2 linked regions of the Oryzias latipes genome follow. The protein of the gene in region 1 binds, or shares a complex with, the protein of each later gene. Links are inferred from orthologs where the notes say so. Each region holds a gene or a part of one and is shown in the gene's direction. Other genes may lie near its edges.

Region 1 (2,963 bases):
AACTGTATTTTCTGGTCTATTATATAATACCACACCCAATAGAACATTTTTTGAGTGTAAATGAACTGGCATTGCAATTTTGGAAGAATACCAAAAGCAGAACTCATCCCAGAATGTTTTTATAATTCCACAGTTAAAGAATAAATGATCCACCGTCTCAATGTCATTCAAACAAAAACTGCAGTCATTCTCTTCAAACTCAAAACGAATCCTCAAAAATTTCTTAGATTGGTACGACGTCGCTAAGTAGTAAAATCGCTCGCTAAGTAGTTTGTCCAACTGGTGTTACCGTAGGGTGACGTCATCATTGGTCGAAGGACCCCCGAAGGACCCCGAGAACATCCGGCGGCCCGAGTCGATCCGGTACCCACACCGCCACTTCTCAAGACCAACTTAAAAACACCAAAAGTAACATTTGCATCAGAGCAGATCTTTAAAATCAAATGCTTGTTTATTTTACAACCACATCATTTTTGTGATGCATTATTTGTTTTGGTTGTTCAAAAACACACACAAATCGTTTTATCCGATTACTCGATTAATCGATCGATTAAGTGCTAGATTAATCGATTACAAAAAGAATCGATAGCTGCAGCCCTATCATTTCGGTTTCTTCTGAATGTCACCTGTGACCTTTTTTCATTGGTTTATCGTTCATAGGTTGGATCCATCATATTCTCTGAGCACAAAATACTGACAGATGGGAGGATATTTGTAAATAGGCAGAAAGACGGCAACTAAGAATTTCTGTGTGGGTTTATATGTAATTGTTTAACTGTGACTAATGTGACGGCAAATTAAGTTTAGAATCCGGTCTTATAAGGGTAAAGCAGCTTTTTTCTAAATTTTAACTGGTTTATAAGAAAAATTTACTTTATAATAAAATTTAACTTTTTTAATCGTGAAAGAATTTTAATTTTGCTGCACAAAACAAACTTTTTAAGCAATTTCATGAATTCAAGAATACTTTCTTAAGACATGCAGCTAAAGATCCACTCTGTTGAAAAAAACAAGTGTTTTGTGGTGTTTATCTGAAAATAGAGGACATATATTAAGAAAATTTAGTTCAAAATGTGTTTATTTTTTATGTTTTGCTCAAATCGTCTCGAATCAGGAGCAGACATAAAATGCAGTTTGGAAAAGAGTTTATTTGTGATGCTGAAAATGTGCTGAGTGGGCCACAAGCTCCCTGCTCCAAGCTGTCAGCAACAGGTCCTAGAAAGTGACAGGTTTTTGGATTTTGGCTAAAACATACTCATAAATAAAAGACCACTGGGAATGCTTTTAAAAGAAATCAAAAGATGACTGGAGTGGGTCTTTAAAAAGTCTTTTGTGTGTGTGTGTGTGTGTGTGTGTGCTACAGATATTAAAGTGTCAGCTTACCTGAACCTAGCAGCTGACTTCACGCACAACTTCACTGACGGCCTTGCAATCGGAGCGTCATTCCTGGTGAGTCCAGCAGTGGGCGCCATCACCACAGTGACAATTCTGCTGCACGAGGTCCCCCACGAAATCGGAGACTTTGCCATCCTCGTGCAGTCTGGCTGCACCAAGAAGAAGGTATCGTACCGTCTGCTTCCAGGCTGCTTGTGTCGCACTGATGCGGTGAGTGTGACTGTGTCGCTCCTCTTTCCCATCAGGCCATGTGTCTGCAGCTGCTGACTGCTTTGGGGGCGCTGGCAGGGACAGCTTGCTCCCTGATGGCTGAAGGTGTGGGCGCCACGGCAACCGCCTGGATCCTGCCCTTCACAGCTGGGGGGTTTATTTACATTGCCACAGTGACTGTGCTCCCCGAGCTGCTGGCAGGACGCTCCAGCTTTGGCCAGTCGCTCATGGAGATCCTGGCTCTGCTGTTTGGAGTCGAGATGATGGTTCTGATCGCAGAGTACGAGTGAGGCGCCTCTGTGGACAGTTTTGGTTTCCTCACAGATTCCTCTCTCTTTTTTTTCTTTCTTTTTTCTTTAAAGTTGTGGGGAAAAAATCTCTTTTGTTGTTTTAACAGTTCATAGACACTTCATTGATTTGTTTTTTTGTATTTTTTAAAACTTGAATCTCTTCATTATGGATGCACAACATAAGGAAAGTTGTTTTTTGTGTGTGTTTTTCTTCATCCCACAGCTTCCATGAGCTGCAGTTTGACATCAGAACAGGCCAAAACACTAGATGTTCTCTGCTGCGTCACACTGGGATGCTCCTCTGATTTTCACTTCATGATTTACATTCCACACAAAAAGATATTGCCGCTTTTGTGAATGTATTCCGAAAGACTTCATGTTTTTTTTTTGTTGGATTGTAAAAGGATCAGCTGTTATGACTCAAGACTTCAGACGGGAACTTATTTTAAACTTCCTGCAATAATGAAAACGCCTGCAGCTGTGCCGAACGTCCCAAATAAATGAAAGGTGATACGTTTCAGAAATGTTCCTGTGGTCATTTCAGCACCTGGGGCTGAAATTCCCAAAAAAGACGATACAGTTCCCCAGTGAATTAAATAAAAACTCATATGTAAAAAAACACACCAACTGTGGGTTGGAGTTGGTATGTTTCCACACCAGCAGTGAAACATACTTAATCTGTTTTAAATTCTTAATTCCACAAAATGATCCCAAAACCAAACGACTTTCACTTTAAGATTTGGCAACTAAACCGAGCTCATAAAATGTAATATATGAACTACAGAATTTAATTCAGTTCTGCACCGCACACATGGCAGTGAAGTCACTCTGAAAGGTGACTAATTTTTACCCAGCAGCCAGTGTTTGTTGGTGGCCACGCCTACAATGTCCCTTTCTTGTAATCTATCAGACTAATTGCATTCTGGTGGTAAACACGAGCTTTTTAATAACTTTTGTTCAGTTTAAACATAATTAATCTGTAGTTTTTTACATAAAAACCACCAATGAAAAACGTTTTGTTTGAATCGTCTAATTTTTTTAAATAAATGCTATTATTGAAAGACATAC
Region 2 (4,113 bases), on another chromosome or scaffold:
GGACACAACTCTGAATTTGGACTCGGATGGACTATTATCTCAAAACCCAGAGTCAGTTGATCCACCAGCATGTGATTCCCCACAGAAATCATCTTCAGAGAGTATGGAAAACACAGCACCGTACTTCACACGCAGTGGTCGAGCAGTCATACGTCCTGCCAGATACAGAGACTAGTTAATGTGACAGTTTTGTGTTCATACTGTTGCTTTGATTTGTTTAATGGTTACGTAAAAGAAAAGAGTATGTTCGTTTTAAAACATTTTAAGAAATAAGTTAAATGTTTGTATGTCGAAGTTTCAGACTACTGCACTAAGATGCACATTGTTAAATGTAAGGTTGTTTACAATCTGAATTTGCCTAGCCATTATGTTAAGAGCATAAGACCGTCTAATGTTCAAATTATTTAGAGGGTGCTTTTGTGTTTAAACAACTGTTGAAGATGTTATGACTAACATGTCTTGGGAAAAGAGGGATGTGGTATATTGTGATAGACAGTAATAACCACCGCCACCAATAGATGGTGCTGTCGGCCTGTATATGCCATGAGGGGTTTCAGAGTAAAGTACATGTAAAAGCTCTTGCACCGAAAGCTGTGTCCCTGTCGTCGGTCCTAATTAAGAGACCCGCTGATAGCACCCACGCTAAGGTAACTCGGAGCAACATCATATAAAGTCACAACAATTATTATTATAATTATCATCATCATCATCAGTCTAATGGAAAACATTTTTTTCCAAGTATTGAAAATCATGATCGTATTTGTTATTTTTATTGTTTTTACATGTTTGAAATAAATAAATCACTACATACATTCGGTATAAGTTAGATACTCTGTATGATTAATGGCTTGAAATGTGGAACCCCCTTTTCAGCAGGAAAACAGAAAGTTGCCGGTGTTTGCCGACAGGGGGCAGTAAATCCCCAAAGATTCGGTGCTATGTCAACCCAAACACCCAGAAGAAGAATGCGGATATGGTTGTTTTTATTGTTAAAGGGGGGAGTGTTTCTCATCCCGGCTCAGTTTCTGCCGTTTCAGCTCAGCAAACAAAGCTCCGCTTGGACTAAGATGGTGCGTAAATAGCAGCTTGCCTCCGTAAAGTCCCCCCACGCCCACCTCAGGTTGGTTTACAGTCCTGGAATAGGAGACGTTTCTCCTCTCGGGGTTTTCTCGTCTTACCTGCTCTTGTCCCTCTGCTGTCGGCTGCCGCTCTCTCGGCTCTCAGACATTGTTTTCCGTATGTGTCATCTACAGCTGAAGACTCTGTTTTTTGTAGCCTGGCTGCTGGGCTACGTGGCGTTTCTGCTCTCCATCAGGAGAATGTGGACCGCTAAGCACGCGCGCAGCCCGCTCGTGCGCTCTCTAGTCCTGAATATGGTGAATGAGCACGAGGCCAGTGGTGCCAGGGAAACACACGAGGTACGACTGTCCTTATTTTTTTTCTGAAAATATAAAACTACAAAATCTAAATTTACAGTGTTTATTTTAAATCCAAGAATGTCCTTATTCGAATGTGTCACGAATTTGTCATTAGTTATTTATTCGTTGCTCGTTTAGCCTCTTTGCACTGACCTAAATGATTCAGAGGGATGCTGAAAAGAGAAACTTCTGTTTTGCAAAAGAAACTATGCTGAAAGAGACAATGTGACAGTAGTTTTAAAGATGACTGGGATTGAAACACAAGGGGGGAAATTGGTTTTGCACAGGAAAGACTATTTTTTAACATTTAAATAGGAAATAATTCTTAAATTCTACTTTCTGCTGTGTAGTTTAACACAGCCCCACCTCTGCTGAGCTGAGAAAATTCAATCCAAACAGACCTGAACTGTTTTCAGGGAGGGGCTGTGGGGTAGGTAAAGGGTGGTATTGTATGAGACTGGTGACAGGAGATGGAGTTCACCTCAGGACTTCTTAAAAAGTGTTGTGAAATCAAAACCTCTTGTTCTGTTTGTTCAGTGGTACCGATGCTGCCCAGATCTGCTGGGAGAATCCGTCCGGCCTCTCTTCATCCAAAGCCACTTGGACTCGGACACCACGGATTTTCTCAACAGGAGCGCAGAGAAGTCCGGCTGGCTGTTCACGCAGCTCTACCACTCGCTGGTGTCCACCGTCCTAAGCCCCGTTTTGTCGCGCACCTCCATTAACGGGTGAGCGCTAGTGGGTGTTTGAATTGCAGCTTGTGTTCCTCTTCCTGCTCCTGACCCTCCTCTGTGTCACAGGGTTTTGGGGAGAGGGTCTATGTTCGTGTTTTCGTCCGAGCAGTTCCAGCAGTTGCTCCGGATCGGCCCAGACTGGACGGCAGAGAGACTCCTGGACCTTGGAGCTGGTGATGGAGGGGTCACAGAGGTGATGGGAGTGCATTTCAGGCAGGTCTTTGCAACTGAGGTGTCTGTGCCAATGAAGTGGCATCTGCAGAGGAGGAACTACAAGTGAGTAGAAGCATATCCTAAAAGCTTTCACAGGTTCCTTCCCTTCAAGCCAATACAAGAATGCAACCACAGAATAACACTGTGTTCTTTTGGGTTGAAATTAATTGGCAATTAGAAGTTTTTCCTCTCTGTCTTTTTGTTGTCTTTTCCCGTGTGCCACAGGGTTCTGGGTATAGACGAGTGGCAGCATGTTGGATTTCAGTATGATCTTATCAGCTGTCTGAACTTGCTGGACCGCTGCGAGGATCCACTGCACCTCCTGCGGGAAATAAGAAAAGCCTTGGTTCCCAAAACCGGACGGCTCGTCTTGGCTGCTGTGCTTCCCTTTCAGCCCTACGTAGAAGTCGGTCAGTGAGGAATCCCATTTCTGTCTCTTCTGCTGACGTTTCATCTAGCTAGAAATCCAAGCATCGTTTCTCTGCTTGACAGGCGGGAAGTGGGAACGACCAAAAGAACACCTGAAAGTTAAAGGAAAGACGTGGGAGGAGCAGGTGACCGATCTGTCCAGCGAGGTTTTCCCGCGGGTGGGGTTTGAGGTGGAAGCGGTGACGCGTCTGCCGTACCTGTGCGAGGGAGACATGTACAATGACTACTATGTGCTGGATGATGCGGTTTTTGTTCTGAAGGCCTCCGGCGACTCGGAGCAGTCTGTTCATGAGCTCTGAACACAACACGGGGCCCAAAATTTCTTCTCAGTACCTGGATTTTAGTGCAATTCTTCTTCTTCTTCCTCATGCATTTATTCATCTCGGAAATTTAGAAGCAGGGAGTTGGGCGCAACACAGCAGTGATTTCCTTTTTCTTTTTTTTTTTAGTTTGTTATACTGTTATTTCAAACGAAAACCTAAGGGGGATCATCCTTTCTAAAAGTTTTTCTGTCTTCCAAGTCCATTATTTGTGATGTAAATGTTTAACTGTCAACGTTTTAACCAAAATTTCTGACAATATTTGCATAAACGGTTCAATTTATAGTACTACATATTTGATTTCACCATTGCACAAGATTTTTACAATTGCCTGTTCACCCTCTGAGACATAAAATCCCACAGAGGTTTTCCAGGTGAAATATCCCAGAGGTGAAGCACTTTATGAGCGTTTCACGTTGTTCCCCCCTCAAGGTTGGTAATGATGGCAAGATCCCAAGCATTAGTTGCACAATGCTGGACGCCGCTCCACTAAGATGCATTTGCTACACGACTGCAGGGAAAACATGCCGCTTGGCCTATAGGAGTGTCACACCTTTTGGCATCTTTCTGTTGGATTATCAGCGTAATTCTGTGCCACGTTTGGCACCACCAGATCCTAAACTTGATCATATTTTACGAACTGTTTCATTTCCAGATCACTCGTAATGGATCTATGCACCTGACCAAAACAGTTTTAACAACTTGAAATCTTTTCCATCCTTCGATTCAGTATTAAAGCCAAACCTCAAGCTAAACTTTATGGAATTCCATGCTTTTGTTTTGCTTTGTTGCACTGAATTTAATATCAAGTAGTGAATTTCTTTCTAAGTGACAACAGGAAACCGAAAAGTGCTGCATACGTTTGATATATTCACAATAAGAGTATCTGATTGTAGCTTTAGATCTATAAATTCGATCTGTTTTTACAGGATGTTTAGGTTGATGAGTTTTTATTTATCTTTGCTGTTTGGGGTTAAAGACAGGATTTTTAAAAGCCTT

Evidence for each region. The genes of interacting proteins can lie anywhere in the genome.
Region 2: the proteins of slc39a7 (region 1) and mettl9 are in contact, whole or in part, in a crystal structure (PDB 8GZE), measured with the Homo sapiens proteins. The link is inferred for Oryzias latipes from reciprocal best matches to the Homo sapiens genes SLC39A7 and METTL9. Residues at the interface, in NP_001070984.1 of Homo sapiens: Gly65, His66, Thr67, His68, Glu69; in NP_057109.3 of Homo sapiens: Arg114, Thr115, Asn118, Arg123, Gly124, Met126, Met179, Asn210, Asp213, Arg214, Val241, His245, Tyr247, Glu249, Trp255, Tyr295, Leu296, Cys297, Glu298, Asp300, Tyr306, Val307, Leu308.

What each region holds. Positions count from the first base shown.
Region 1 is NC_019869.2:14,594,616-14,597,578, forward strand, and holds the end of slc39a7 (zinc transporter SLC39A7), read left to right. Parts: intron 1-1,363; coding exon 1,364-1,560; intron 1,561-1,640; coding exon 1,641-1,895; 3' UTR 1,896-2,415; downstream 2,416-2,963. UniProt on the Homo sapiens protein: Transports Zn(2+) from the endoplasmic reticulum (ER)/Golgi apparatus to the cytosol, playing an essential role in the regulation of cytosolic zinc levels.
Region 2 is NC_019877.2:20,101,693-20,105,805, forward strand, and holds the start of mettl9 (methyltransferase-like protein 9), read left to right. Parts: upstream 1-1,223; 5' UTR 1,224-1,238; coding exon 1,239-1,418; intron 1,419-1,955; coding exon 1,956-2,146; intron 2,147-2,218; coding exon 2,219-2,428; intron 2,429-2,590; coding exon 2,591-2,775; intron 2,776-2,857; coding exon 2,858-3,093; 3' UTR 3,094-4,113. UniProt on the Homo sapiens protein: Protein-histidine N-methyltransferase that specifically catalyzes 1-methylhistidine (pros-methylhistidine) methylation of target proteins.